Oreochromis niloticus: one gene and its partner. The protein of the gene in region 1 interacts with the protein of each later gene in a pairwise test. Links are inferred from orthologs where the notes say so. Each region holds a gene or a part of one and is shown on either strand. Other genes may lie near its edges.

Region 1 (16,487 bases):
CCTAGGACAGCATTTCTGTATCCGTAGGGGCAACTTCATAGCCCTGAACTCAAGAGCTCGGCTAGGGACACAGCAGGGGTGGGGGGTGGGGAGGGGCACTGCCAACACATTTTGCCACAAGCTTCTTTTAGCCAAAGCTGCGCCTTACAATCTATCACATCACACACATAAAAAAAAGCCCTTTTTGCCGCTGACACCTTCTTTCTCAGCCTCCGTCTCGTCTCTGTGCGTCTCACTATGTGAGAGGACGGGGATCTGGTTACAGCACAGTTGTAGGTAGCCGATCTACACCCACATTTGCTCAAAATAGATGTTGCACTCAGTGAAAACATTTCACCTTCTGATACCTCCCATTGAAACTCTCTAGCTCGGTGTATCGGCGTGTACGTACGGCGGCTCTTTAGGACATCTCCAGGGTTTTTCCCAGGATGTGAGCTGATGAGGACGACTTGAAAAATATGAAGTTCAGGTTATAACAAACCACCTATGAAGTTACAAAGAACACTTTGAATGTAAACTATGAGCCTTTAAAAAAAAGGACTTAGCTGTTGCAAAAATGCAAGTAAAAACTGCAAAGTCAGGTGCTCGCAGGCACAGCAGGACCACGGGTCTAATCTTCAACTGACATTAGCCTGGAAAAGAAGCATAAAGACACACACATTCGCTTCCAGTGTGACCAAAAACAATCAAGCTGGTGTGTGTTAGGAAGAATGTCGGTGTAATCTTACTGTGTAGGGAACAGTTCCTGTAGTTTAGGCTGGCCTGAGAGTGTAAAAGGTTTAATAGCTAGGTTCACCCAAATTACAAACACCCTCTGTGATTTACATGTAGGTCACCTTTTAACTTGCCAGGAAGCTGTTCTAACTTGAGTAGTACCTTTCTAATTTATCAGGACTAGAGGCAGGCGTGTTGCCTAACACACGCTGCCCTCGGTCGGTGATTACCTCGAGTAAGGGAAGCAGGGATAGAAATCCTCTGGGGAAGTTCAGATGTCATATAGTTTGTAGCAGGTGTCGCCTAAAAAAAAAATGCCCTGCAGCCTTTCCTTTGTTAATACGCTTAAGTTATTAAACTTTTTTTTGCATCGATGTCATGTAAAAATTGTTACTGCAGAGTACGCTAATTAACGGTAAAATGATTAAAGGAAATATATTAAGTTAAAAGATGTCTAAACATGTATATGTATATTTGGTTATGTAATGTGCCATTGAGAATTTATTCTAAAATAAAATGTTGTATTTTGTGTCATATTTGTGTGTTGTTTCTGGTTTTCTGTTGTTGTTTTTTTAATGCAATCTCTCCACACGGGTGCTTTTCTTGTCTATACTTTAATGTGTAATATACTTGAACACGTGAGGGAAGTTTGTTTCACATTTTGTCGACACTGCAGCACCTTCACATTATTCTGACAGCAGTTAATGTGGTCACATTTTAGAACAATACAAACCAGAAGATCTGTGAAATCATCTCACAAAGCAGAGTCTGCTTACTGTAGCGCCTCAGCGTGGTACAGCTGTGCGATGCAATATCTCCTTATTATATGTAACATTACATGAAAGTGATCCTTTTTTAAAGTGGCTCTTTTTCTGGTTCCTACCTAAAGTAGTCCCATACAGTCCTGTGGAAAAGTAAGTCCACACTGTTATTGAATAGCTTTCAAAATCACCTTTAGCAGCAGTAGTTTGAACATATGAACTTTTTTAGTCTCTCACATCCTTGTTGAGGAATTGTGGCCCACTCTTCTTTACAGTGTTGCTTCAGTTCATTGAGGTTTGTTTATGCACAGCTCTCTTAAGATGCGGTCGCAGCATATCAGTCGGGTTGAGGTCTGAACTTTGACCACATCGTTGCAACACATCAATCTTTCTCTTTCTCAGCTGTTCTGTTGTAGATTTGCTGCTGTGCTTGGAATTATTGCCCTGCTGCATGACCCAGGTGCAGCCCAACTTTAGCTGTCACACTGATGTCCTCACATTCTACTGTACAATAATTTGGTATTCAGGAGAGTTAATGATTGACTCAATGACTCCAAGGTCCCCAGGTCCTGTATCTGCAAAACAAGCCAAAAACATCACCCCTCCACCACCGTGCTTGACTGCTAGTATGAGGTGTTTGTGCTGATATGCTGTGTTTGGTCTTTCTCAAACATGGTGCTGTACATTACAGCCAAACAGCTTCACTTTGGTCTCATCTGTCCAAAGAACACTGTTCCAGAAGTCCTCAGATTTATTCAGATGCAATTTCATAAACCTAAGTCGTGCTGCTATGTTCTTTTTAGAGAAAATAAGTTTTCTTGTCATAAAAGATCCAAAAAAGCCATACTCATCTGTTTTTGTTCGTTTTTATCCACATCTAACCCAGCCCGCTGATTCTGTTATGTAGTTCTTCCCGGCAGCAGCAATTGCTTCTTTAAGAACATTGCTGATGTCTTCCCTCCTTGGAATTGTGTTCACACACACCTGAATGCTCCAGACCTCCACACTGCCAAAACCTCTGCTCTCATAGAGGCGTTCACACCTGGTGATCAGCTTATCAGATGCATTTGATCAACTCCACCTAGCTGCTACTTACTCTTTTAATTCCTATGGAAGCAGCAAAGGTCTTCTTAGTTTTTCATAGGACTGCACAGAGTCCCAAGAAAACCTTCTTACAGGACTATACATGTGTTTTGGTTTTTTAGAAGGAAGCTGCATCTGTGGTGAGAGGCTCCTGCTCAGTGTGACAGTATGGTAGGAGATAATAAGTACAGGCAATTCCCTCTCTCCTCCTGTCCTGTGTTACTAGCTAGCTGCTGGCTTGTTTCGGTCAGGTGATGTGGCTGGCGGTTGTAATTTGGCAGGAAGAGTAGTTCCTACATGAAACTGCTCAATACAGGGAGATTCAAACAGGGAGATTGAAACTAGCACCTCACACCCTCTCCCCCCAAAGGTTCTAGATGGAAAAATAGCAGATATGGGATTATTTTTAATTCATAAAAATAATGCATAACTCCATTAGGGGTTGTCAAATCTGAGGGATGAGTAGACAGTTGCAGACTGGGCAGGCTGTCTCGTGGCTCTCTGCTGCTTCAGTGCACCTTGGGAAATCACTGCATACATCACCTGTAACAGTGTGAAAAGTAAGGGGGTGGGGGGGAGGGGGGGCAGTTTAGGAGTTGCAAGCCTGTCAGCGAGTTCACTATGTTCAAGGACTGTTTTAAAACAGTACGTTCACTTACTTCTGGCTTCCTCTTGACTTTAGGTGGAGCTGCAAAAAACAAAAAAAAGAAGAAGAAAAGACAGCATGGTAAAAATTGCAGAGTATTGCCTCATAACAGGTTAACAAAAGGAAATACACAGGATATACCTTTGGGAGGGTATGCTTTGCATTTCTGTGGTACCGGGCATCGAGGTGGAGGTTGAGGAGCCAAGATGGTTGGTTGGGTTGCGTATGGAACTTCGTATATGACCTGTGCCCTGGGAAGTGGCTGTGGTTTGACCTCTGAGCTCAGACAGCGAGCCAATTCCAGGATGATGGGAAGGCAGAGTAATGCACAAGCACAGATCAAAACCCTGTGCAGGAGTTTCCTTGGAGAGGGACCTGTGATGAGAGCTATATGATGAGGAGGATACATGACAAGCAGTAAGACCTGCTGGCCAAAATGCAGATGCACTGTGATGCACTTCAATATATGTCATTCTCTGTACCTGCGGTAATGTTCACGTGCGTGCGATGTCCATTTTCACTTACACCTGTATCCCAAACAACCATGCATCCATAGGAACCTTCATCCGACTGGTTGACACTCTGGATGTTTAAGAATAGCTTTGTCTGACTGGCTGAAATTGTCTTGTTGGTCAAATGGTGTCTCTCGCTTTCCTTCACAGGCTTCCTAAAATCATATGTTGAATTTTCCCACATCCAGGCAGCGGTCCAGTTGTTTCCACAGTGCTGAACTACACAGGACAATGACAAGCTGTCCCCTTCTGGCACATAATCCATATCGCGTTTTGCCAAAATACTAAGTTGGCATTCTTCAGCACAGAGACCTAAAAGAAGGAATTTAGATTTAAGTCACTGTAGGGGAACGTGAATGTGTAGCCAAGGAAACTCGTGCAGTTTGGTGCTCCTTTGTCCCAATCTGGTTAGATTATAACCACTAAAACGCATTAATAATCAGGGAACATAAACACACACGCACATGTTTTTGTTTAACTTGGTACATCTGCTAATTTCCATATGCAGTGAAACACACGTCATGCAGAATAAAACACGCATATGGCGGCCACATTTAAAAGGCACGGAGCTTAACAAACATTTCAAAGAACTAGACGCACGCAGTGCGCTTTGGCATGACCGTGATTACCACAGCTTTTAAGGCGAACACATGGCAAATGGCATCTTATTATAGAATACTGCAGATGGAGAGTTCACACGAGCGCTTTAACAAACAAAAACAGTCAAATAAAAGGCAAGAAGAGAGACTTTCCTTTATGTAATGAGAACTTTGGTCAGAGTTTCAAAGAGATCACTTACCAGCTTGGAAGATACAGACGAAGCAGATGACACCGAGGAGATAGGTATACATGTCTGACTGTAAGGGTGTGTTTAACGGTGTTTTTGTCTGCCGTTCATCACTTCCCCTAAGAGAGTTTGTGCTTACGTTTTACGACTGATTCTTAAATGCTGCCACACTTTCTGGAAATCTTAGGGAGCGAGTGAGTGGGATCACGGTATTTCACTTTCTTTTACTCAGTAATTATATTGTCTTTCCTTTCTCCTGCTGTTGTTCCTATCCGGTCAGAGATGAAGGAAGTGAACACTTACCCATACCTGAAGGCACAAGCACACACACGCAAAACTGAAATACGGGAAGCAGTGATCTCATGAACAGGAATATAAAATTTCCTGCAGGAAAGGGGCCGGCTTCAAAGAACTATAACATGAAGAGACAAAAGAGAACAGAAGCCAGCAAATCCTCCTCCTTCTCATTTCTGTGCAGGTCTTGATTAACATTTTAGTCCAGAGACCTTGATTAAGGCATACATGGCTGATTATGTGGTTATTTGGAGTACAGATCTCTGACAGCTGAGGCTGAATAGCTCGCTACAGCTCGGTGGTTTTCAAACTTTGGCATATCCCACTTCAGAAAGCACTACTCTTACTAAAAATAAATAAATAATAAAGAAAACATTGAATATTGTAAAAAATTAATCATTTTGGTAGCGTATAATTGCTGTATATGATAGAAGGGGGTTAATAGTGTGAGACAAGCTTGCAGAAATAACTTTTCCACAAATACACTATATTGTGTCACGGGGACTCGAGTCCCCGTGGCACCAAATACTAGGAATACTAGGAACGACCCACTTGCATTGGCTGCATAGCTTACCACTGTTACTATAGCGAAAGTGCTTGTATTCTCTTTATTTCAGAAAATAGGCTGGGGAGTTTTTTACGATTACGTTTCTGTTGTACTATTAAGCGCAGGTAGGGATTTTCCACTCGGAGTACAACTGCAAGCCCATTCCCAGCGCACATCAAGTCTTCAAAGTAAAAGCTTTGGTTACCTTTGAAGACAAACACTATTAAGCAAATAATGGGCTGTTAAAGAATATACTCGCATGTAAGTGATTTAAGCACATACAGTCCTCATTTTCTGCTATGTCCTATGTGATGTTTGTGTCGCTCAAAAAGCGCTGCGCGTGATCTTATTTTGAAAACCGGACGTTTCGTATGCGGTAAATCTTTCAGTTTTGACTTTTGGGAGCGCTTGTTTATCGTCCACAGCGCTGTGCAGGAAATACAGAGGAAGTGAGAACGGTGCTTCCTTTTGGAAAGAAACTCAAAAAACGACAGACGCCAGTAGTAAGTGTTATGACTTTAGTATAATTTAGCCCGCATTTACAGCTAGGGTTATTATTCATGCGATTTAGCTGAGAAACCCACAGAGGCTGAAAATGGTGGCTAAAGTTGAGTATATCTAATGTTGTCCCTTTGTAACATGATTTGCATACATGGGTTAAAAGTGTTCACACTGAACAATTACTCCCTTGTAAGCTTCCAGGAGAAAATGTTGGCTAATTAAGAAAACAGTGTACAAAATATTTGTTTTATTTCCTTACTTTATTACAGATAATGGTTTTTTATTTTAAGCTAAATTTTGAGTAGAACTAGTAGATTTTATATTCTTGAAAAAATAAAGAGTTAAATACGTGCAGTACAGAAGTAAATGTGAGCATGTGCCATTACAAAGTATGTGAATCGTCTTCCATGACTTCTACAGTCATTGATCGTCTTCATGAGCTAATGTAGTCTACATTGTTTTCAAACCCCGCCCAGCCGCCACGTCAAAGACCGAGCCAGGAGCCCATAAACGAGCGCACCCCGTGGTTACACTGACAGACTGTCGGTGAATGAGATAAACAAAGAGCCGGCTACTTTCCAGGACAACAGTTGACGCTCCTCAAGCTTCTCGGCAACATGGAAACTGGTAGGTTAAATGTCACTGTGTCCCCTCTCAGTGTTTGTGGCTGCCTCGATGAGTGGAGCTTGCATTTGGTTGCAGGAGAATGACAGCTGACCGAGCTAACCCGTGCTAAAGTTAGCATTCACTGCGTTAGCATGCCAGCCTGCTAGCACGACTTTATGCCGTCCATCTCTCTGTGAGCTAGGTTGACAGTTCACCCCCCCCGACGGGCTATGGGGTTGTCAGCACGGTGCCAACATCACAATCTTAAATACATTAATCCTGCTCCTCTGCTCAGGCGTTAGGAACTCTTTCCAGGAACGGGATTTATTAGCCAGAGAGTAGCTAGCTCGTCTTGGAAATGCCACAGTGACTCTTTAAAGTCGGGGCCATTCATGGAAGTGAGAGTTCTGTTTGGGGAACCCTGCTTTTTACCCGAAAAGAGAATAGTTTCATTTATTTTTCAGTAGATCTCAATAACCACCCAAGTCAGCCGAGAAATACTCCCTACTTTGTTTCACACCTCTTTTTTATGCTTCTGGGCAAAGGTCGACTTTGAACTTGAACCTAAGATCTGTGTTAGCCAGGTGCTCTGATTTACACCGCAACATTTAACAATAAAAGATAAGTTGAAATTAAACAAATTAAAAACGTTAAGAATTTCAATATTGTCATTTTTTTTTTTAATTGTAAAGTTGACAGCAACAATGACTACCTCCTAAGCCTGTTTCCTTTTTTTTTTTAAAGTCTGTATTCCAGCTTTATGGAGCAGTGACGGTCATAATAAAGTGCTTGGGTAATGTAAAGCCAGCTGTACGAGCACTGGTGTGTAAATTTGCAAGTCACCCTGGCTGCCTGTGCTTGGCCCCTCTCCATAGAAAGCCACCGTGATCTCTGTCCTCACCATTCATGCCCTCAGTTGTTGACTAAAAGCCTGGACAACTAACTTTATTTGGGCTGAGTCTTTCCCGTTTCTTCACACACACGCGCGCACACACTCCCATCAGATATTGTATTTAAATAAGCTGCTGGCTTTTACTATTACAGGCTGACCTTTTGACACATGTCCTCATCATCTATCCATACTGATCAATGTCATAACTTTTAGCTGTTGTGGCTTAAGGAAAACCGTGTTGCACTGACACATGACTGAGGCCGCACTCCCAGAATACTCTTTGCCTTAGGCTGGGTTCTACATTTTTTTTTTTTTTCTCCCATTTTTCTTTTTTTGATAACGCAGCAGCTAATGAGATTTGACACTGTCCTAATCTGTGATGGTCAGTGCATTTGAGCTTTGTGTTGATGGAAAATAACAGAATGCAGCTGAGCAAGAGGTTTGAACTCGAGGCAGCATGCATGACTAGGCAATGTCCCTCTCAATGTTTAATTGCTCTATGCTATTATTTGACGGAATAAAACACACACACACACACACACACTAGTGCCAGTTTGATTCTGTGTGTGTGCGCGTGCACACCCCTCCTTACCCCCATCCAGTGGGACTGGACAGGCTTTCTAGTGCGTTCCTCTCACAGATGGAGCCAGATGAGTGATCCCAGCAGCCAGCTCTGACCAGCCCTCAGCTCCCTGGGGCAACTTGTAGTAGTGCTACTACAAAGCTTTCTTCATTTTTGTCCTCTTTTGCTGGTACTGCCTCTCCATGTACCCAGAATATTCTTTATCAGAGGGCTAATCTTAATTGTATATGGTACCCTTTATAGATTCCAATGTAATCTCTGTGTGGACTGTGGAAAAAAGAAGTGAAGCACCAGGCGGTTATGGTGTTCAATAAAGCATATGCTCTTAGTTTATGACTATCGATCTGGTGTTAGAGGCATCATTCTGACATCTGAGTGCGTGAGTACTCGAAAGATAGCTCTTAAGTGGGAAGTGCACATGCTTAAACCGCACAGTTGAGTCATGGGAATTGGAACAGTAGGAAATTCCACTTTTGGATGCAGACAATGTGTCTGAATGTCTAGCCGTGTAAGCTTTTCTATAATGTCCTAACTTTATTTGTCCTCCCTCTCCTTCCCTTATTTTTTTTTCCCTCTTCCCCCTCACACTCCCTGTCTCCCACTTCTTGTTCCTAAAGGTTTGAGTCAAGAGAAGGTAGCCACCTTTGTTAAGCGGATGCGGTCTGAGCCGCGTTACCTGCTGGCCCAGAATGTGTCAACCTGCATCGACCCGTTGGAGGTGTGTCTTCACCGGCAGACTGTACAGGATACTGTGCACATCTTCCAGCACTCTATTCCCACAGAGGGCAAGCCCATCACCAACCAGAAAAACTCAGGTAGGACATGATGTAATGCAGTTACATACACATGTACTCTCCACAAGATGCATTTTTAAAGTGTTTGTATTAGGGCTGAATGGTTTGGGTAAGGTGTTCCTGAAATGCCCTGTTTCAGGGGGGGACTGGCCATCGCCCAAAAGCAAGCAAGCAGTTTATTTATATAGCACTTTCAGATCAGCCCCCAGCTGAACACAAAGTGCTGTACACTTGACATGCCAAAAATGATACATTGAACATGTTAAAAAAATTAGAAAAATAATAATAATATAAAATAAATAAAATGTGTGTGTGTATGTATATATATGTATGTATGTGTGTGTGTGTATATATATATATATATATATATATATATATATATATATATATATATATATATATATATATATATATATATATATATATATATATATATATATATATATATATATATAAATAAATAAATGATTATTAAAATAAATAAAATTAGCACAAATAGCAAAAACAATAATAAAATAGTATTAAAAAAAAATGATGATGAGAATTACATTTAAAACAATAAAATTAGCACATTAGATTAAAACAATAAAATCAGGGTCAGACTGTGTCATAAGCCAAGGAGTAAAAATGGGTTTTAAGACGTGTTTTAAAAGTGGACAGTGAAGGGGCCTCTAATGTGCTGGGAAAGATTGTTCCACAGATTAGGAGCAGCAATAGAGAAGGCCCTGTCCCCTCTGAGCTTTCTCTTGGACCTGGGTACCTCCAGGAGCAGCTTGTCAGCTGACCTGAGAGACCTGGGGGGTGAGTAAGGATGCAGAAGCTCAGAGAGGTAAGTTGGGGCAAGACCGTTTAAACATTTAAACACAAACATGAGAATTTTAAAATGAACTCTAAGATATACAGGCAGCCAATGGAGTGAAGCCAGGATGGGAGTTATGTGCTCTCTTTTACGAGTTTTGGTTAAAAGTCGTGCAGCAGCATTTTGGACCAGCTGCAGACGAGAGAGAAGATGCTGACTAACTCCACAATACAGAGCATTACAGTAATCTAAACGACATGAAATAAAAGCATGGATTACCGTTTCAAGATGCGGCCTGGATAAAATAGGTCTTATCTTTGCCAAGCGCCTTAGATGATAAAAACTGGACTTGACAGTAGCCCTAATTTAAAATCACTGTCCATCTTAAAACCCAGGTTTGTAACGACAGATTTAACATACTCTGCCAGGGGTCCCAAATCAATAGCGGAGGGTACACAAGGTCCACTAGGACCAAACAGAATCACCTCAGTTTTGCTTGAATTACATCTTAGAAAGTTTAGGGACATCCAAGATTTAATGTCTTCTAGACATGCTAGAAGTGGCTTAATAGAGAAGGCCTCTTTCTGCTTCAGAGGCAGATAAATCTGACAGTCGTCAGCATAGCAGTGGAAGGATATTCCATGCCTTCTGAGGATGGTTCCCAGGGGCTGTAAATATAATGAAAAAAGCAGAGGCCCTAAAATTGAGCCCTGCGGGACCCCAGACTGAAAAGTGGCAGAGGAAGACTCATACCCTAAAAAGTTAACACTAAAAGTTCTGTCACAAAGATAAGACCGAAACCATTTCAAAGCAGTACCACGAATGCCTGCAAGATGGTGCAAGCGAGACAGTAAAATGTTGTGGTCTACAGTGTCAAAGGCAGCTGTTAGGTCAAGGAGGACAAGAACAACATGATTACCAGAATCACAGGAAAGGAGGATATCATTAAAAACCTTTAAGAGTGCTGACTCCGTGCTATGAAAGTTTTTAAAACCTGATTGAAAGACCTCCAGGATACCATTCTCATTTAAAAAATCCATCAATTGGCAGTGTACAATTTTCTCTAAGATTTTAGACATAAAGGACAACTTGGAGATGGGTCTGTAACTAGCCAATACAGTGTGGTCCAGGGCAGGTTTCTTAAGCAAGGGTTGTACTACCGCATGCTTAAAATTAGCAGGGACTACACCAGATATTAAACTGCTGTTTATAACAGTAAGAACAGCCTGGCCTATGCTAGGAAAAATCTCCTTAAAAAATTGTGGTGGGACAGGATCATTTGGGGAACCAGAGGGCCTCAGGTGGCCAACCACATCCTCTAAATAAGAAAGAGTCACAGGCTCAAACTGGTTAAAAACAGCAGAGCAAGGGATCGAGACAGAGGGGTCAGACTCAGGGGAAGAAATGAGAGCCCGCGTGGTTGCAACCTTCTCAATGAAAAAACACATAAAATCATTAGACAGTTTATGCGAGGCCTCCAAACAGCCACTTTGTGGAGCATTTAAGACTGAGTCAATAGATTTAAATAACACACGTGGATTGTGACTGTTGGAGGAAATGATCTTAGAGAAGTATTTTCTTTTAGCCTCTTTGACTGTATCCTGATAGAGGCGCCAGCAGTCCTTTAGGATTTGAAGAGACACCTGCAGTTTGTCCCTCTTCCATCTGCGTTCAGCTCTACGACACTCCCTCCTCACAGCCCGAGTGACGTCATTAAACCAAGGGTCAGTTTTAGCCTTGGGCTTCCTGGTTTTTAATGGTGCCACAGAGTCCAGAATAGTAAGGCAAGAATATTGAAACCAGGAGCTGAGGTTCTCTGTGTCCAAGGGAGTACGATTGGCGGGCATAGACAGCTGGTTAAAAGCAGTTGCGAACTGGGCAGCAGTGGAAGGGTTAATAATCCGACAGCGGCGAACAGGAGCGCTGGTTTGAACTGTAGTGCGTGAAAACACAGCATCAAATAATACAACCATATGGTCAGAGAAAGCAGTGTCAGTCACTTCCACGTTAGACACAGGTAGACTGTGTGACAAGACCAGGTCTAGTGTGTGTCCGTGTTCATGTGTGGGACCAGGTACGGACTGGACCAGATTAAAAGAGTCAATGAGGCTTAAACTCCTTCACCAGAGGTTTATCAGGGCAACAGACATGGATATTAAAATCTCCCACAATAAGAACATGATCGTAGTTGGGCATAATCCCAGCTAGAAATTCTGAAAAGTCATTTATGAAATTCTTATTGTATTTAGGGGGATGATAAATAACAGCAAAGAGCACAGAGTTAGAGCGACTGACTTCAAAACACGTGAGCTCAAAGCTGGAAAACGAGGGCTGTAAAACACAGTTTACATTTAAAATCCTTTTTAAAAACAACCGCCGTACCTCCTCCTCTCCCTGATGTCCTTGGTGTGTTAAAATAGGAACAACCCGCTGGTAAAAGTTCAGATAAAGTACTGGACTCACCAGTGTTAAGCCAAGTCTCCGTGACACACATGAAGTCCAGTTTCCAGGAGATGAATGACTCATTCAGAATAAAAGATTTGTTCACCAGCAATCTGGCGTTTACCAGCCCAATCCTGACAGGAGCCGGGGATGAGGTAAAAGCCCCAGCGGCACAGGGAGTCCGACACAGCGGCCTCAGATTGCGGAGGTTCGCCCGGCGCACGTTGAGCCGAGGGGGACAGGGGTCACGGAGGAGCTGCGCATCATCCTGGCAGACCACGGGGATGAGGCAGGAATCCACGGGGTCCAGGAAACGTCGATGCACAAAAACTCCAGGAAATAATCTCTGTATTCCTTTGACGGTAGTGGGATGGTGCGCTAAAGAGATCTTGAGTTTAACCAGCCGACCACTGCGCCTACCCCGACGTCTTCGCCGGGGAGGTAGCATGACTGCACGGCATAGGCAAGTCGGGATATGTGACAGCAGCGGACACCATGAATTCTGACCTCCGTTAGAAAATGGAGCTGTATTTTGTCCAGAACTTCTGAGGTTCAGAAGCGATTGGCGATCGTACACCAGTAATGACCCGATTTCTTGAGTGACACACGACAGGAGCAATATAAAAACAAACAAAACTGACAGCGACAGACGAGCAGCCACGTACACCGGCGCCATCTTGGTCAGTATAGACACTTTAGAGTTTAGACACTTGGCACAAAAGGATTCAAGTTTCCAGCCATGTGCCCTTCACAGTGCCAGGTGGATGGCAAAAGTGATTTATGAAATCCCAAAACTATAGTCAATGATCACTAGAGACCACCTGATTCTTTATGCTCTTCTTTATGTGTCAGAGTGCCACTTATTGTCTGTTTCATTTAGAAATTATTCCCATTTTTAGTTTTCATTGTCAAGTTTGCACCAGCTGCCAGTCACAGATGCTCAGAATGTTTACACCTTGTTTGATGGTGATAAATAAACGTCTATGTGCAAAATATTTAGCAGTAACTTTTTATTAGAACATTTCATTTATGTATTTAATATCAAGAAGCACGTGGATAATTTCTACATTTGCATTTGGATGTATTATTCTGGACCGTTGTACCTGTCAGTCAACCCAAACAGCTGCTTAAGACACTGAATTCAGTAATGTTGTACATTTGTCCTCACAGCGACATTTTACAGTTCAAACAATAGACAGTTAGTGATGTCATTTCTGAAGCAAATAGCAATTTATATCATTAAACATTTCTAGCCAAGGTAAATATGGTGAAGAGCATAAATGTAGATATAAATTGTACACTGGCAACACTGATAAGATTAACACTTCCTGAAGTCTTGAAATTGCTACAGTGTAGTAAAGTGAATCTGATCTTGTCTTGGCTCTGGTGAGAGGCACAAGTTTAAAGTACATGGTGTGCATTAAGGACAGGCGGTTGTCAAGAACTTCAGCTAATAGACTTCAGCTTGGTCCACGGGTTTGTGCCTGTAATGTTTGTAATAGTCAAAACTAGGGATGGGTATCGAAAACCGGTTCTTGTTGAGAACCGGTTCCCACTGTTTCAATTCCTTGGAATTGTTTGCCATTTTTGCAAACGATTCCCTTATCGATTCCAGTCGCCCCGAATGACGTCACCACGTTGCGGCGCGTCGGAGCTTACCTGGCAGGAAACACGGCGCCTAAGCGGCTCAAACGCTGAAAAGTTTGGTTATACTTTACTGGAATGGATGACAACAGGGCAACTTGCAATACTTGCAAAGTAGATATTTCATTTAAGGGAGGGAACACTACGAATATGCAAAAGCATTTGCTCACAAAACACGCGATGAACTTAAATGAATGTCGTGTTTTTAATTCCGCTCCGGAGTCGTGAATCTCAACCCAGCAGCAGCGGTAACGTTTGCACGTCCTCTCCCATTAATGCAGCAGGTAAATAATCAACTAACAGTGCATATTATGTTAGCGCGATCTGCTTTATTATAAAACCTGCCATTACTGTGCATTTAGGTGACCATGATGAGAGAGACAGAGTCTGGCTGGCGCTCGCTGGCAGTTGTCGCTGCAGTCTACCGGTAGCGTCTCTTTTCAGGCCCGAATGTCACCGAGCAGTGACTAAGTTTGTGGTAAAAGCCTTGCAGCCATTTGCCACAGCAGATGGTGAATGTGTTTAATTGTAGGCAGGGACATTACTGAATATTCTTGTGTAATTGCTACAGAATAATTTATGTTATACTTTGTTATTGCTACAGAAGAATATTTATTTTATTATTTTACATTTACAATTTTCCCCGGGGACCCTGTGACACCACTTTGAAGAGCCATAGGCTGTGGATCTCTTAAGATCTCACTGTTGGGTTTGTAAGGCCATGTTACTCCTAAATTTCTATCTTGTTCAAAGAGAAGATATAAAACAAAATTCTAAGCTAATCGACCTTAGTGTTCTCCTTTTTAAAAATAAGAATCGATAAGAGAATCGATAAAGAATCGAATCGTTAAACCGAATCGAAAATGGAATCGGAATCGTTAAAATCTTATCAATACCCATCCCTAGTCAAAACATTACAGCTGATTCTTTACTCAAATGGAAAAAGATTTTCTATGGCAACCCCTAAAGTGGGCAGCTGAAAGAAGAGGGTTTGACCTGTTGCCTACCTGTTTGAACAGTTGTCGTGTAAAACATTGCATTCATAAATCATTTCTGTACATAGCTGGACTGGAAGCAGCATTACTTTTTATTTCCTTAACCCTCTCAAGGCAGGCGTTGCAGATTTGCAACAGTTAAAACACTAACAACCTGATTAAGCCACATACATATTTTATGAGTGGTTTTTTTTGATAATTTTCCCCAAATATCAGATTTTTCTTGTAACTAAAACTTAATTTGAGCCTGAGAGGGTTAAATTGTTAGAGGGACTGTATGTAATATGCAGGGGTGCACAGAAGTGGTCCACAGGTGCGCATGGGCTGTCAAAATAAAAGACGTGCACCAGATAAGAAGTTGCAACGCGCGTTTGCGTATATATAAAAGGCACTGTTTTTGTCCGCTAGAGTGGGATTTTCACGGCATATTCTGCACCATATCTGTGCGTTCATCATTTGTTTGAAGCCAGCTCACCTCCTGCAACCACTTTTCCGAGAATACGCGGTTCTTTTGCAGTTCGGACTTCTTGTGACATTTCTTTGGAGGTGGAGGAACACCAAAGTAATTGCTTGAAGGAGCTTCTTCGACATCTTTGAGAGTTCTAAACAAATGTCTGTCCCCCTCCAGAAAATCTTATGTACGCAAACGCCACACTCCCTTTTTCTGAGCTTGTCATCATTTATAGTTTTTCCATGAAATGTAAGATTTGCATTGTGTTTACATATTTTTCTCACTGGAATAACGAGTTTATTTTCCCCTTTTTAGCATGTTTCACTTGCACAGTTTGTCATTAACCTCTGGTAGGTCAGCTGACACATCTTTGGGTTGCTTTCTTTAAACTGAAATCTTGTTCTAGTATGTGGATTTCAGCACCTCACAGCCTTCATGAGAGATCCAGCTGGAATGACTCATGTGTTGGTGGGGACGGTGTGGGCTACCAAAGTTAGTCTTGCCTCAAAAATAGATTAAATGAGAAAGAAATGATAGACTTGGGCCATCTCTAAGACAGTCCATGCCAGGCACATTAAAAGAGAAGGCTGCTGTTTAGAAACAGATGAATTCATGTATCAGCCCCTGTTGACAGCCATTGCTGCCAGTTTATTTCTGCATTCAACAAATTTAAAACCTTAAATTTCCACCAATCATGAATTAATGAACCACCCAATCGGTCTCAGCTGCAGAAATCCTGGTCCACTACAGCCCTGTTAGTCATTGAAGGGAAGGGATCTAATTAAACAAGCGATTCTAGTCTTTCAAGTTCTTTGTGATACTTGTTATCATCACAAGCACGGCTTTATATTGCTGTTTGCGTATTAAGCCTTTACTAACCTGCATATTTCTAAATCTGTTTTCTCTTAATCACTAGGGAGATGTTGGATCTTCTCGTGCCTCAACGTCATGCGACTCCCCTTCATGAAAAAGTTTAACATAGAGGAGTTTGAGTTTAGTCAGTCCTATCTATTTTTCTGGGACAAGGTAAGACACACAGTAACACCACACATTGGTTATGGTTGTGGGCTTTTTCACTCCTTTATTATTATTAATATTTTGTACATTTTGGTGATGTAACATTCTGGTAAATGGATGTTTTCTGTTGTTTTGGAGTTGGGACACTATGTGTGCACTGGTGTGGTGTTATTATGCTGCACCTTTCTACTATACAGTCATTGTCCCACCTAAAACCCTCTTTTGTGCGTTGTTGTCAGTGCTCCACCCGGACCAACGTCATGGTGACACCTTGGTGATTTTTTTTTTTTCTTTTTTCTTTTTTTAAATGCCGTCATCTTTCTCTTTTAAACTGTGTGTATTTTTAGCAGGCCCATCATAAACACACCCCTTCTTTGTGGCAGGTGCCAGACATGGGAGCTTCAGCTACTGTGATATTA
Region 2 (16,487 bases), on another chromosome or scaffold:
TGTTCATCTTCTCAGCTTTGATGGAGGTGGTCAATTTGAGGGTCAGTGTGACTAAGACATCAGTGACCATTATGTGGGAGTGGCAAAGGAAGTCTGAGCCAGTCAGAGTGAGCAGATATGAAGCAGTTCTGAGGAAAGACTCAGACAAACAGTGTATGTTGTCATGATGAAACATGTCTGTGGGTTAATGAGCCTTTTGGCATAAAATCTCACTCCACAGTAAAAAAAAACAACTTTGTCTTTTTTTCATTAGATTTGTCCATGTATATTTTCTCGCTTGCAGAAGTGTTACAGAAAACTGTTATGCATATTTTATCACCTTTCTGCAAATACAACGTACATTCTCTCATTTCCAGCTTTACCTTTGTGGCCAAATGACCAGCAGCACACTTTCTATAACCTGATGCCCAACGCTCAGTATTCTGTTACACTGTTGGCTGATAATGATTCTAAAAGCATCGTTCAAGTGACGACAGATTTCGGTGAGTTTCACTGAACCAGATTCCTTTATGTGTTTTTTTTTTTGCATTGCAGCATTGGCTACATTTCTTTGTAGTAGATTTCTTCTCAATATACTTAGAATCAATGATTGAAGCCATATCTGCAGCGCCCCCTGGTGTGTGGACTGCAGCATTTGTTCACCTGTGAAACCTAAGACCGTCTCCTCCTAAGAAGTCTGAGATCTCTATATCAAGCACTGCTTATGCATCTCTTTCTATTGATGTCTCATTTGTTGGGGCTGGGCTAACAGAGCACATGGACTTTCATTTAAAATTGACAAAAATTGCAGCTTCCACATTTCAAACCCACAAGGGAGGTTAAGTGACAACTTTTTTTCAGATATTATCACTTTATTGCCAAAACTGAAATGGTTTCTCCAATTTGACAGTCTTGACTTTGATTTTGCAGGATTTCAGAAATGTGCAGTAACTTTACCCCTTTCAAAACAAAACAGCATCGTTTGTAGTGGACAGCACAACTTGCTACCTCACATTTTCAACCCATCAAATAAAAACACTTTTCTGCTGTATTTCTGGAGGATATGCAAAAAAAAAAAAAAGAAAGTCTATATCATACAAATGCAAATAAGAACTTTTCACATGTTACAAGACACAATTATGTGAAACACACTTTGCAATTAAGATATATTCTATTATAATTATAAATGAGTGCACTGCCTACATTAAAGTCGGCTTGATGGCTTTTCTTTCAGCATCAAAAACTCTTATAGTAAAATAAGAGAAATAACAGAATAGAGAGCAATAAGATGTTGAATTTGTTATATAGGCTTTTAATTTGAAATGCACGGATGGATGGATAAAGTGCAGGTGGCTATTACAGAAAATGCTCGACAGTGAGGTACACAACTGACCCAGATGATGGACATAAGTATGGGTGATAGAAACATACTGCTGTGACTGCAAGAAAGTGATTTATTTATTCTGATTTTTGAAACATAAGAAGAATCTCATATTCTTCTTTCCAGATGATGTAAGGGTGGTGGCTACAGCAATTCCTCTGCTGCTGGTGGCTGTCACTGTGTTAATCCTCTCCATCCTGTCCAGGAATCTGTGAGTGCTGGGCAATCTGTTCTTTTAGCAATACTAATGCATTTGTTTTTCATGTATGCCATGTGATCTTTGGCCCAAACAGCGCATGCAAGGCATGGCATAAAAAAAAAGTATGTTAAATGTTATTTGCTAATAACTAAAGTCATATTTTGCGGTAGCATTACCAAAACTTGTCTGAGAACAGTTTAATAAATGAGAATATTTACCAGTATTTCACATTTTCTAGGATAGTAACAAGAACATTTATGGGATTTAACAGCTGTTAACACAGTACAAAACATCTGAATGTATTACAGCAATACAGCTTAGCCTTTTATCATCTGACCTCAAGTCAGTGGCCCATGAACCTGCTTTTTCTGGTCAATCCAGCTCTGAAAGATTAAACATGCTGCAAAAATGCAAACAATTTCCTGGAGATTCTCCTGGTTTCTAGGACTTACAGGAAGTCAGAAGTGAATGTTCTGATAGTACGCGGTTAGTCCTCGTCACTGATAATGACTTTAATCAACATCACTTTTTAGGTACAAGTCATACTTCTTCCCGCTAATCTCTAGCCCTCGACTAAGCAAAACAGGCCAGTGGCTGATGGACCCAAACCACGAGGTAATCTGTTTTTTTACAGCTTTCATATTTGGGTTACTTATTTACAGCTCATATATCTGTGCATGGGAGACTTCGTGCCCATCCTCAGACTCAGATTTAGAATATTAGTCCAACTAATTATAACAAAAACACCTGTTAATGATATCTACCATCACACAAAATTTGAACATGATATCTTGAAAACTGTGGATACTAATAAACAGACAACAGTGGGAATGGCAAAGACACCATACAGAAACAGGAACAAGAAAACTTCTAAGATTGACAAAATGACCACAAAGGATTTGCACATCTAAAAAAAACCAAATATATGTAAAGCTACAGCAGTCAGTCACAAAATGACCACTCATTCATTCTTTTCAACAGAAATTTGCAGAGAGGAGCATCCTTAATATTGAAGACTTCCAGGTGACTGATGTCCTCAGAGACAAAAGTCTCATCATAGCTGAGCGAACCTCTCAGCTCTTACCAGATGATGACCAGCGTGAGGATACCTCTCTGCTGTTGATTGGCTGCCTCACTCTAGACTCTGAGTATGTTTCTTATAGTGCACAACCCACAGAGAACCAGTCCCCTCCTCCTATCAAGGTTTTCATATCAGAGGAAAAGCAAGAGGCTGCCGGCGCTCCGCTGCACGAAACTAAGCTCTGGCTTCCTCAGAGCGACAAGGACAGAAATCAGGCTGACATCTCCGAGATATCACATCAGACCGAGGCTGCTGTGAAAAGTTACTTTCCTGGTTTGTCGACTGAAAGTCAGCCTGTTTATCCGATGACCTGTGAGACAGAGAACGTGTTGAATTGGGGCAGGCAGAGTGACTGCTCTTATCTGATCTGTGATGCAGGTTACATTTCTAACAGTGGCACAGGGGTGAAAACACATTGAGACAGACTCAGCAACGAATGAGCTCGATAAGATGTGGCCGAAAGGTTTATTACAGCAAGGAAAGCAGTTGCCTGTCTTGTGGGGCAGACACAGGGAAATAATTCATTGGGTCTGCATTTTTGTTTTTTTGGTATTTTTGTATAAAAAAATATAGAAAGTTCCACAGCAACATAAGTAAGGAGTGCCTCCTTTTATCCTAAGATCATTGTTACTCCATGTTTGTCAGGCTCATGTTGGTCAAATTGGTCAAATACTTAACTGAAGTACATGTTCTTCTCTCTACTTCTGCTTCACTATGTTTTGATTATGAACATTATACTTTTACTTTGTACCACTTATTTTAAGGGTTACTAATTATTTTGCAAATTTGAAAATGTTAATCTACTATTGCATTATGCTGCACTAATATAGATAAAGCAACCCAGCAGTGTACAGTACAAGTAATTCAAATCATTAACAGACACTTATACGCTATGTTCAAAAATATCCTATATTGTGCAGAAGAGATATAACTTGGACTTTTCACCATTTCAGACCACAAAATGTTGCAGGACGGCAGTGGAACTTTTATTTAACCAGACAAGTCATTAGAAAGACCTTATATGCAATGACAGACAAGACACAGACAAAGTAATGCTCCATTGGAGTCTTATTATGAAATATCATTATAGGGCTCCATGTGAGACTGAAAATAGTGCCCAGTTTTTTCTTTTAGCCCCTCTTCAGCTACAACCAAGTCTTCTAGAAAGATACTGAGGCATCGTCAGTGCCACCAGGTGGCATCTTAGTCAGATACTGAACCACTTCTACTGGCTGCTTTTACTGTGAGCTGGATGGTCTTGCTGGTTAATGAAGCCAGCAAGACCATATAATCTGCAAAACGCAGAGTCTAGATCCAAATTTGACACCTTCCACTCCTTGTAGACATCTAGAAATTCTCTTCATGAATGTTATTAAATCAATTGTTGAAAAGGGACGCCCCGGTGGACTCCAAACTGCAATATATTTCTCATAAAGCAAACCATTCTCTCTATGAATGTACAAGGGACAGATGGCTCATAATCACAGGAGCATTGAAGAGAATCAGACAAAATCACTGTCTGTTTTAGAAGCAACCTTGTTTTCTGAATTAACTTTGGGAATATATAAAATGTATCTGTTGAGGGTAACCCAGTCATTGGGGTAACCTTTATATATTTAGGGATAGGCTTCAGACTTCTTGCAATCCAGAATGCTAAGATTCTCATTGGAAGTGAGCAGAAAGGTCAGGATTAGAAATGAGCTGTCACTCAAGGTTGAGATGGTTGGGACAAGCGTAGAAGAGTGATAGGGGATGAGATGCACATAGGATGCCGAGTATGGAGCTGCTAGGCAGGAGGAAAAGAGGAAGACGGTGTGACAGAAGGATGCAAAGCATAGGCAAGGATCTCCAAAAGTTGAATCTGTTCATCTGGACGTAGTGTTTTGAGGGAGAAACGTTTCGTCACTCATCCAAGTGACTTCTTCAGTCTCAGCTGACTGCAGGTCACTTGGATGAGTGACGAAACGTTTCTCCCACAAAACGCTACGTCCAGATGAACAGATTCAACTTTTGGAGATTTACTTTCCTGGATGATTGAGAATGCATCAAGACATAGGCAAGGATGAATGAGATAAATCAGTTGATCTGTTGTGTTGAAGTTCAGCTTTCAGGGAGAAATGTTAGGCACATCCTTGCAGATATGCAATGTTCAGGTGTAACCATTATAAGGCATCTAAAAATTCCATATATAGGCTGGAATATTTGGGAAAAAAAGGCCCCATACAACAAAAATGGCTTACTTTGAGCAATTTATTTAATACTTGAAGTTTATTTTGACTCCTAGAAATAATCCAGCAATTATGTAATTTTACTCACATATTTAGATTTAATGAACTTATTAACGTAAATGAAAAAATTTAAAAATAAACAAAAGGCCCCACCCCGAAGACTCTGAATGGTTTAGCAGAAAATGGATGTATGGATGTTTGAGATTACATTTCTTGTAAAAAATGTTTTGTTTAATTAAAGGAAAGTTGAATGTGTTTTATTATAAAACAAATGAAGAGAATTCTACTTTACATAATCAAACTTTTATTATCATTTGTCCACCCGGGCAAATGAAGAAGAGCACGCTCCTTCTTCCATATTTAATCATCGTACTGCAGATATTTCCGAGGTGAAATGTCAAACCTGAGATTGTTGTACATGCGTGGAAGTCGCTTCGCAGTAAACTGATATTAAAGCACAACGTGTACAATCTGAAGAATGTGGTGAGTCAATTCAATGGGGACAAATTCGTTCCTATCCATCGAACCTCCTCAGCTGGGCGGGAGGTGGAATGATGAAGGTGTTCTGTTAGAGATTAGCGTTTATGCCGATCCAATGTCTGATCAGCTGGTGGGCGATGGTCTGCCTTGGGGGGATGTTAAAAGCTGGAGATGCTCCTCTGAACAAGGAGTCGATCACCTAAACAAGCAGAAAAGTTGGATTTCTGTCTCATTAATGTCTAGAATTGTTCATTATTAAGCATTAGAAGAATTGGCCATGGAAATGCATGAAAGCTCTGGAAAATTTCTAGTAACTGGAGCTGATGCTAACAGTTTCCAGACTGTTGTTATAAAATAATCTTCAGTAGACTTATTATTAACTCTTAACATCATGATCCCTGTTGGCAGTTCCACTAATAGTCGCACTGTTACTTACCTGTTGCCGTGTGAACCACTGAGCTTCCTCTATCTCATTCTCATCCACTTTGATGTCGGTTGATATGGCAACAGCAAGGCAGCCAAACATGAGGTTGGATGGCATTGGCCAGGGCTGGCAGGAGACATACTGAACCGGTCCGACCTTCACGCCGCTCTCCTCCTCCACCTCCCGCCTTACTGCATCCTCAATCGTTTCCCCTGCGGGGTATGACAGGGAGAAGCTGTCACCCTAATTTTTATAGCTGAGACTTGATTTATGGTTAATATTCCTGTGAGGATTAGCTTCAGGCACACATCAGTTGTTTAACAGCTGAGCAGTTTTTATGTTTTTCTGTGTGTGTGTGAGTTTGTGGTATACCAGGCTCTACAAATCCTGCTAAACAGGAAAACATCCCAGCTGGGAAGACCTTCTTCCTTCCCAGTAAACATTGGTTTCCATCTGGGTGGATCACCAGCATGATGACCACTGGGTCTGAAATCACAAACATATGGAAACTTTGTTACTCAGAGTGGGCAAAACCTACTATAGTATATGATGTGACGTCAAACATTAATAAAACTGAAGCAGGTGAATTATAAAAATATTACATTTCTGTTCATTTGTTATAAAAAAGGAAATGGCTATAGAGATAAAAACTATATTTAACCCCAGGCTGGGAACATATCTATTTCTGTTGGGCTTTTGTAAAGACTTTTTTTAGGGACATTTTTGAATTTATCTGACATTGCAACAGTAAAGAGTGGACAGCAAAGAGGGGCAAGAGAGCAGGGAAGAAACACAGGAAAGGGCTACAGGTCAGGATCATGCCCAGGCTGCTGCATACGGCTGTGTCTTCAACCAGCTTAACAGGCACCCATGGGCTTTTTTAATATGGGGGTCTGTAGGACTTGACTTAGAGCAAGCCTCAAGAAGCCACTGGAGAAACTACAGTTTTCTGTTCTTTTTAGCTTTTACATTTTTTGGTCATGTTTTTTGTGCACAGCATGATGGTACACAGTATTAACTACAGTGCCGATGAGCTGATAGATGAGCAGAGTCATACCAACTCGTGGATAGCAGGTATTGTGGACCCCCTTTAGACTCCTGCACTCAGAGTTCAGACAGCTTCTCTTGTGTCCTCCATCCTCCAGTTTGGTGCTGCTGCCACATGTCGGACAGAAGCTGTAGCGACCGTGCCAGGCCAACACCGATCGAGCCTGAGCCACGATCCCTTGCAGACAAGGAGAGCGGGAAGAAGTATTATACCCTCATACAAGAGAGGCAGGTGATCAAACAACAACACACGTTTTGTGTGTCTCACCGGCCTCTTCCTCATTTAGTTTCAGCAGGTCTCTGTTTGGCATCTTTGGAAAGGAGCAGTTCTTCTCCCTGCACCGTTTAACAAGGTCAGCAGCATCTTCATCAGTGCTGAAAGCAAACCAAGCAGGGGCCTCCCGGATACCCTCCTCAGGAGAGGAAGGGGAGGGATTTTTCCTCTTCTCCACTCCGAGGAAAATGAGCACAGTTGCAGGTTTCTGTAGGAGATCCTTAACTGCCTCATATCTGAACCGACACAGTTTGCTCTCAACCTGTTGCAATCAGATTCACAATTCACAAGACTTTCATCTTTATCACTTAAACTAGCCGTAGGCTGTAGGTTATAAACATACCGCTGCGCCGTCGTCTTCCTGGGATGTGCTGACCATGGGGCTGAGGTTCGAGAATATGAGGTAGACAGTATCTGGTTCTCTTTGTTTGGCCTCCAACCAGGCCTTGTCAGTCCTTTTCCCACTCAGGCGGTCCAGCGTCTCCCTGCTGAAGTAGTTTTCCTGTGGACTGATGTCAGAGCCCTGCAGGACTCGCCGGCAGCCATCGTCAGTCTGGCAGAGTAGGTTAGCGATGTGTTTGTGACCCCAGAACTTGGCAACATCATAGGCGGTCTGTGATGAACTGTTTACTATGAACTTATCACAGCTTAAAAAGTAGAATAAAACAAAAAAGAGGTTTTAGAGAAGTCAGGAATCCATTTATACATTCAAGGCTACAACATATCAAAGTTTGGGGCTCTTTACAACTTAGACTTTTAAGTTTTTAGATGTTTGTCATTTAAATTGCACCAACATTTTTTCTGTACCTGCTTATTATAGCTTCTTTGAGGAGGTTTTTCTATCCTAAATGGGTTTTTTTGCGACTATTTTTGTCTCTTCAGCTTTTATATTGATTTCTTTCACTAAAAGTTTTTGCCTTATCACACTGTTAATGCAAGTTTATTACTTTTAGTCTTGTTTGGTCTTCTTGCAACTCATAATTGTACTGTATTTTCACCACTAGTTTTATCCCTATTTTGCCTTGTTTTATACTTTAAAATATCATTTTAGCATATACCTCCTAGTTTAAATCCTTTTCATTGAATAAATTTAGCTACAGTTTTATCTCTCTCTTATTTTCAGTCTACTCCTATTTAATTTTTAATAAGTTTTAATTTAACGTAGCTGTGTGTAGCCAAGTTTTATTCTAGCTTCATTTATTTGTTTCAGAAAGAGAATCATCTTTATTTGGCCAAGTTTGTGCACACAAATAAGGAAATTGACTCCTGTTCACTTTGCACTTTCAGTTTCTTTAAATATTTTAAATCCTAGCTTTAGCCACTTTTCATAATGCTTGTCAGTTCCTGTTGCAGCATGTTTCTGCCCATCAAGTCTGCAAATGTTTACCTAAAAGTAACACATGTGGAATAGATACATCCCCTAAATACTAAAAATTATTAGTGCAGCTTTGAAAAAATATTCCACAATATCTCTCTTTAGTATTGTTCACTTAACAAATGGTACATTAATAACATTACAAATTAAGAGAAATGCAGTGATGTACCCATGTGACAGCAGCTTCTCCACCACATGAGAATGTCCATTGCGAGCTGCAAGCATTAGCGCGGTCCAGCCGCTGTATCCTGTCTGGTTGATGAGCGAGGGCACGTGGGACAGCAATATTGACACCTGGGACATATCTCCTCTTGCTGCAGCATCCAGAAACTTCTCCACCATGTCCTCCTTCGCGCTCAGTTGATAGCTCGTCATCCTGGATCCGGAGACAAAGACAATGTAACCTGTGCTAATATATGATCTGGCAAAATGTCAGAGGAGATATTATGAACAGATGAAGCAGCTAGCTACAAATAAATGTTAAAAAATGAAAGTGAAATGTTATTTTACAAGTATTGGTTTAAGAGCTAAAATAATCACAGATAAAAAGGTAAAAAGTTTTGAATAATTGATTGATGATTAATGTAAAGAAATGGGAATTTGGGTTTAACAACCTTAAAATATAGCTCAGTTTAAAATGCTGAAAAAACAAAGTACAACAGCAAAACTGACCCAAATAAATACCAACATGTCACTAGAACGCTATTTTTTCTATTCCATCTATTGAGTGGTTTGATACAACATCCAGAGAACGACTAAAATACGGAAAACAACTACATTTTGCTCTTGTTTTACTAACAGTTAGACCCAAGAACATTTGAATGATTTGGCCAAGTTACGGTAACTAATTGTGCCATCTTGTGGCACTCACCGGTATTACTGTAAAGAACAGCTTGACCCTTGTTCACTTCAGTTGACATCGCTGTGCTCTTTAAGATTTAGACATCAAGTCAAAATATTTTTTAATCGCATTCACTTGACAACTGCACTTAATTTTAAAATATTTTTAACTATTTCAAATTAGTGATTTTGAAAAAAGTGCCTGACAAATTATTTTTTTTGATCAAATGTTGTAATTTTCTGAAAACAATAAAAATAGGAAATACATGAATTAATGCAATTATAATTTAGCAAAATAAATAAGTAAATAATCCTACAGCGTCAATTCTACACTGTGCCTTTAATTAATCCTCCCTGTCTCATTAGCGCATCGAACTGTCAATCACTGAACCCTTTGACCTCAGCAATGGTTGCGAAATGAACTTACAGGAACCACCTTGAATTGCAGGTGTGCTTTTATAAATCCCACAGTGTTGAAGATTAAGCTTGGACACAATATTTGTTTGTCATGTGGTTTTAAAAGGCCTCTGAATACCGGCTCTGTCTCACTAACAGTTCAGGAAACGAAAACACGAACGAACAGGAGCGACATTCGCCGTTTAAGCTTCGTTTAAAGGAGACCAAACTTCACATTTCACGTTGAGTTTCATGTGAAAGATTATTAAAGCGTCATCTCTTGCCTTTCGCTTGGCGTCCACTTCCCCTCCGTCTCCTGTTGTTGGAGAAAATGTTACGAGGTGCGTTCAAGAGCAACAACCACGCTGATTATGGGTGGTGCTGCCTTCAGGTCCTCCCGGCGCTGTAGTATTTCCGACTTATAAAGGCTTCTCATACAAGAATGAAGCTATGTTAAAGTTCTTTACATAGTAAAATTGCTTCCTCCTGTATGCTCTCACCTGCCACTATATTGAGTATTACTACTAACTGAGTCCTCTAATTATTACATAGAAGAAAACTATTGCAATTAGGCATAATGCCATTGTTAAGTTGACCCTTTGAAGTTCAAACTGAGCATCAGAATCTCACTGAAAGGTAATTAAAATGAGTTTGAACATTACATGGTTGCTGGTGTCAGAGAGACTGATTTGACTTATTAGAAACAGAAAGGTTCCCACGTAATCATCAGAAAGTAACCATCAATTTTCTGTGTGAAAATAGGAAGGAAACAATAATTTAAGTAACCAGTCATTACAACAGAAGTTATGCAGAAGAGCATCTCTGAATACACAACACAACGTGCTGCTTCCAGAACAGAAAACTGAAGCTATAATTAAAATGGTATTAACAAAACTGGGCAATGAAAGATTAAAAACAATGTTGCCTAGTCTGATAAGTCTTCATTTCTGCTGCAACATTCACATGGTTGGGCCAAACCACAGTATACTTCTCTTCTGATGGCTGGAACAGGATATTCTAATCATGGATGTGCAGCTGACAAATCTGAAGCGATCATGTCAACATGGACAAAATTCTCTGAGGATTGTTTTCATCATCTTGTTAAATCTATGTCACGAAAAATGAAGATCGTTCTGAAGTCAAACGCTGGTCCAACTATACTAAGGTATACTTAATAAAGTGGCTAGTGAGTATATATGTTATGCATTGTTCTACTATACCTCTTATAATACCACTATCTAACCGAGTTTATATAAATAAAAAAAGAGTTTATGTTAATTGTTTTTTTCAGCCCTTCACTGAAGAATTGTGTCATCAGATTAAAGTTGCTGAGGATGAGATTATATTCTGATTTTGACTTTAAGTACTTCACTAATGCAGGAACAGGAATAAAGCTGACAAAAACCAAACTTGAATAAAGCATATGTTTTAGTTAATCCTTTATTAAAATAAAGTACAAAATAAAGTTAACAAAGACGGAGCCTCTCCCTTTGTGAACACAGGTGGGAAAAAAAAACATACAAATGTCATTTTATAATCACAAAAACTTACATTCTCAAATCCAAACTTTTATCCTTATAAATAAACTTTTACTCGAATTTACCTGTAGTTACTCTCATTCACATAAAACTCACAGAGGAAACGGAACAAGCAACCTGTTAGTGTTAGTGTCAAATCTAAATGTTGACCGGATTTAATTAACATGTTAAAAACAATCGATTTAAGACAAATGGAAAAAAAAAATTAGTCTAATAATTTTTTCCTTCACAGCTGAACAGTTTCACAAGCTTAAACCATCACGACGTTTCTGTTTTGGTGCAGATGGAGGCTTTCTCATACTGTAATAAATATGGAGAGCAAAACACACTGTATGTTTGTGCGTGAGCAGAGTAGGTATATGACTCTGTGTGTGTGTGTGTGTGTGTGTGTGTGTGTGTGTGTGTGTGCGTTAGGAGTAAAAGGTGAGGACGCTCTGGTGGTTTCCTCGCACCAGCAGCAGTGGTGGGAGGCCTTTGGACAGAGTTTCCAGCCAGCACATGTAGAGGGCGCTCGACACTGTGCCCTTTCTTGCCAAAGGCATGCTCCTAGACACACAGATAGAGAAAGAAAAATTCAATTTTTATGATATTTATACATATCAAAATCAAACCTAGAGCAGCATTAGAAAGCTAAAGAAGACTGCATGATCTTGTAATTATGAGTTATGAGCAGTTAATGTAAGCTTAAAGGTCAAATTATTTTGACATGTTAAATTCAATGTGAGAAGTCTAATTTACTTTATATGTAACAGCTACGATGAGTTACACTCCGTGTCTCACTATTTTAACTCTATATTTGTTTGTTTTTCCATTAACTTCACTGAATTAGCTTTAAGCAGCTTATAAAACATTAACTATGAATTATGGAGCTCAGAGCTTTATGGGTCATCCATTTTAATGCTTCTGAAGTTCCCTGAGTGTCATCAGCATTTTAAGATTTCTTCAGTATGAAAGTTTAAGATATAGTCAAACTTTCCCAACTTTAAATCTTCGGGATAACTGTTTTTTGGGTTCCAGTGTAATTGGACAAGTTAACACAGTCATATATAAAATGCAGTTTTTAATACTGTGACGAAACATGTTTCACAATCTGCTGCACACGTGGCCAGGTCGTGCTGGAAGCCATGCATGCCCATGCGTCACACCATGTCTGCTGCAGATGATGTCGTATGCTTCAGATCACGAATGGTTCCAGGACTTCTCCACACTGTTGTCACTTTGTTACAGGTTGTCTGTGAAGGTTCTCAGTCATCCAGGTCATCGTAGTCAAAGGAGTTTGCAAAGAAAAGCGTCTGGACTTCTTTAAGTTGCTTGAAGACGTTTCACCTCTCATCCGAGAAGCTTCTTCAGTTCTAAGGTCAAATGGCTGAGAGTCCCAGATTTAAACCCAGTGGGAGTATCCCCCCAAGGAGGGACAAAGGACCCCCTGGTGATCCTCTAATCACATGCGCCAAGGTGTGAAAGCGGGTGTGGGACCTAATCAGCCAGGGTTTCGGGTGAGCCCATTGTGAAACCTGGCCCCACCTTGTCATGTGAATTCCTGAGGTCAGATGGCCCAGGATGTGAGTGGGCGTTAAGGCGTCTGGGGAGGGAACTCAAAACTGGATTATAGATGTGTTCCCCACACCTCTCGTGGGGAACATCCCACACCACATCAAGAACTCCACCGACTTCACCGACAAGGTCCAGAAACTTACCCTGGATCCAGATGAAACCATGGTGTCCTTTGATGTAGTCTCTCTCTTCACTTGCATACCCACCACGGAGGCAGTGGAGACTGTCAGAAAACAACTACAAGAAGACAGCTCCTTGGAAGACAGGACCAACTTCACACCCGATCAGATCTGCACACTGTTAGACCTCTGCCTTACCACAACATACTTCAAATACAACGAAGGCTTCTACAGACAAAAACATGGCTGTGCCATGGGCTCCCCTGTGTCACCTATTGTAGCCAACCTTTACATGGAGGAAGTTGAAAGAAAGGCTCTTGGCTCTTTCAAAGGAGGAGCACCCAGCCACTGGTACAGATATGTAGACGACACCTGGGTCAAAATCAAGACACAAGAAGTGGAATCCTTCACTGCGCACATTAACGCCGTGGATAAAAACATCAAGTTCACCAGGGAAGACACAAAGGATAACTGTTTGCCTTTCCTGGACTGCGCTGTGCACATTGAAGAGAATGGCAACCTCAACATTGAAGTTTACCGGAAGCCCACACACACGGACCAGTACCTCCTCTTTGACTCCCATCACCCTCTGGAACACAAACTTGGAGTAATTAGGACCCTACACCACCGGGCAGAACATGTTCCCTCTAAGCCTGAAGGGAAAAAGAAGGAACACACACATGTAAAGGAAGCACTGAAAACATGCGGTTATCCTAACTGGGCGTTCATAAAGTCAGCAAAGAGGCACAGAAAAGAAGATCAGACACCAGCGAGGGAGGATAAGAAAGACAGACGCAACAACATTGTCATCCCCTATGTAGCCGGTGTATCAGAGAAACTCAGGAGAGTTTTCTCCAAGCACGACATCCCAGTGTACTTCAGACCCAGCAACACACTCAGACACAAACTGGTTCACCCGAAAGACAAAACTCCAAAACACAGACTGAACAACGTGGTGTATGCGGTACAGTGCAGCGAGGAATGCCCGGACCTCTACATTGGAGAGACCAAACAGCCACTTCACAAGCGCATGGCACAACATAGAAGAGCCACCTCCACAGGACAAGACTCAGCAGTCCATCTGCATCTTAAGGATAAAGGTCACTCTTTCGAGGATGCCAATGTTCACATTTTGGACAGGGAGGACAGATGGTTTGAAAGAGGAGTGAAAGAGGCCATCTATGTCCACTGTGAGCGACCATCTTTGAACAGAGGCGGTGGTTTACGACACCAACTGTCTGCCATCTATAATCCAGTTTTGAGTTCCCTCCCCAGACGCCTTAACGCCCACTCACATCCTGGGCCATCTGACCTCAGGAATTCACATGACAAGGTGGGGCCAGGTTTCACAATGGGCTCACCCGAAACCCTGGCTGATTAGGTCCCACACCCGCTTTCACACCTTGGCGCATGTGATTAGAGGATCACCAGGGGGTTCTTTGTCCCTCCTTGGGGGGATACTCCCACTGGGTTTAAATCTGGGACTCTCGGCCATTTGACCTTAGAACTGAAGAAGCTTCTCGGATGAGAGGTGAAACGTCTTCAAGCAACTTAAAGAAGTCCAGACGCCTTTCTTTGCAAACTCCTTTGACTTTGTTACAGGTTGACGTGAACAGACAGAATGCTGCTTCAGAACTGCTGGAGCCTTTTTAGAGGTGTTTTGGTGAAGTTTAACTTGGCCTTGTTGTTCTTGAGTTTGATGAATGGTTGTGGTAAATCCTCTCTTTTTTCTTTCATTGGCGCCTTCTCTTTATGGTTGACCTTGGAACTTTATGCCTTTCTCCTGGAGATTGTTCTTCTTTACCATCCCCCTGGTGTATCTGCTAAATGTCCAAGGCTTTTATAAGTTCACTGGTGTTCTTTTTCATAGTTCTAAGAATTTAATTTTTAATTAATTTTTTTAATTAAATCGTCCCACTAACCGTCTTATGGTTTTATTTCATTTTTGCAGAAAGCAGTGTCCATTCACGAAGGGATTTTCTTGTCATGCATTATTTTGCCAATTAATGATTGACACTGGTAGCTTTCCAGCTTCATAACCACTTATCTAACTTAGGGACGCTGGGAATGCTTTAACATATCCCAACCGATACAAGGCGAAAGGCAGGGTCCACACTGGACAAGTCACCAGTTCAACACAGACAGCTGTGTGCTCATATTAACCAGGTTTTTTTAAATGCTAGTTTGTCAGTAAATTAAAACAAATGATGAAAAAGTTATTACAAAGTTCTTACATGACAATGAGTTTGGCAGTGCTGGAGTGTTCCTTCAGCAGCTCGTTCAGCCTGATCTGACGATTGGTCTGAAAGTAACACACAGTATATTTACATGAACCACTTGAAGAGAGCACTGTGATTGGTCTAAGTGTGTCTGCAACATGAGGACAGACCTTGGCCTTGTACAGCTCCAGTTCGTTGTCAGTGATCCTCCAGGGCTCCTGGGCCTTCAGCCTCTCAGCAGCCTCCTGCTCCATGTCGTCTTCCTTCAGCCTGTACGGCTCGATCAGCTCCTTAAAGGTCAGCTTACTGTAAAGTAACACATTCATTAGGTTTTTAGAGCAGCACTATCAGTTTCATCCTCTCCACATGATGCTTCATTCTAAAATAACATTTAAAAAATATTTCAAAGCACTTAAATTTTTAATATTACAAACTTTCTACATGTTGACTTTCACAGTCATCAAATAATCGATATATTAAAAAAAGAAGAATTCATGAACAAATCATTCACCTTTTGACTTTGGCTTTATAACACTTTGTAAGCAATTTACGCAAGTAACACAGATGCTAAAGACATTAAAAACACAATAGAGAAAATCCATAGTGATGAAAGCTGCTGAGCTCAGGAAGTTTCAGAGGCCTTACTTGTGTTTCTTGGGTTTGGTGTTGATGTCACCGAGGACGTTTATGTCAGAGAAGTCGATTCTGAACCTGCTGAGCAGTGTGGCCATCCTAACGTGACATAAAAACAATAACACAATAATAAATTAAATGTATGTGGATATAAAGTCAAGTTCGTAGTAAAGATAAGCAGCTGTCGACTCACGCTCGGCGGTCGTGGTCGATGCGGTTGATCTTTCCGCCGATGAACACGCGGATCCTGCAGTCGCCCCACTTACTCCTGTTGGTCAGCAAGTAGGGAATCAGCAGAGTCAGGCCTGCAAACCAACACACGAGCTTAGATCAGAGATCATACGGGTCATTAAAAAAACCCCACTGAACAAAAATCTGTTTTCCAGTATAGATCAGGGAACCACAGATTTGAATGGGTTTTTTAAGCTTATTAATTTTTCACCTTACTTTTTATGACAGTGTCAATGGCATGACAGAATCATGGAACCCAAAGTCTGTTCATCAAATATGTTTTTATTTACATATAAGAATGAGAACACTAACCTCCATCATCAAAGAGCCACCACACATCAATGGTTCCTTTGCCCTGTTTCTTCTTAAACTGCTGGCTGCTCTCCAACAGACGCTGGTCAGTCAGGCTCAGAGGAGACTTGGTCTCTGGTAGGCGACGTCACATGGAGGAGCACGGTATGAGACAAGGTAAGGTCAAAGAAACACAAA

What was found.
Region 2: the proteins of blmh (region 1) and nudt12 interact in binary tests that used the Homo sapiens proteins (3 or more experiments, as listed by UniProt). The two-hybrid records come from large-scale screens. The link is inferred for Oreochromis niloticus from reciprocal best matches to the Homo sapiens genes BLMH and NUDT12.

What each region holds. Positions count from the first base shown.
Region 1 is NC_031979.2:10,708,697-10,725,183, reverse strand, and holds the start of blmh (bleomycin hydrolase), read left to right. Parts: upstream 1-5,719; 5' UTR 5,720-5,847; intron 5,848-6,321; 5' UTR 6,322-6,462; coding exon 6,463-6,472; intron 6,473-8,543; coding exon 8,544-8,741; intron 8,742-15,967; coding exon 15,968-16,077; intron 16,078-16,487. Other genes in the region: uncharacterized protein si:dkey-52l18.4, read right to left, coding at 2,994-3,101, 3,218-3,246, 3,346-3,591, 3,687-4,028, 4,516-4,567. UniProt on the Homo sapiens protein: The normal physiological role of BLM hydrolase is unknown, but it catalyzes the inactivation of the antitumor drug BLM (a glycopeptide) by hydrolyzing the carboxamide bond of its B-aminoalaninamide moiety thus protecting normal and malignant cells from BLM toxicity.
Region 2 is NC_031977.2:32,254,902-32,271,388, reverse strand, and holds nudt12 (NAD-capped RNA hydrolase NUDT12), read right to left. Parts: upstream 10,126-16,487; 5' UTR 9,989-10,125; intron 9,938-9,988; exon of another isoform or gene 9,736-9,937; intron 8,845-9,735; 5' UTR 8,844-8,844; coding exon 8,638-8,843; intron 7,741-8,637; coding exon 7,437-7,740; intron 7,356-7,436; coding exon 7,088-7,355; intron 6,998-7,087; coding exon 6,830-6,997; intron 6,259-6,829; coding exon 6,145-6,258; intron 5,985-6,144; coding exon 5,785-5,984; intron 5,548-5,784; coding exon 5,437-5,547; 3' UTR 5,348-5,436; intron 5,207-5,347; 3' UTR 4,773-5,206; downstream 1-4,772. Other genes in the region: interleukin-6 receptor subunit beta, read left to right, coding at 16-153, 357-482, 1,487-1,571, 2,093-2,174, 2,541-3,059; solute carrier family 12 member 2, read right to left, coding at 11,653-11,788, 15,150-15,217, 15,305-15,440, 15,780-15,866, 15,961-16,072, 16,311-16,424. UniProt on the Homo sapiens protein: mRNA decapping enzyme that specifically removes the nicotinamide adenine dinucleotide (NAD) cap from a subset of mRNAs by hydrolyzing the diphosphate linkage to produce nicotinamide mononucleotide (NMN) and 5' monophosphate mRNA.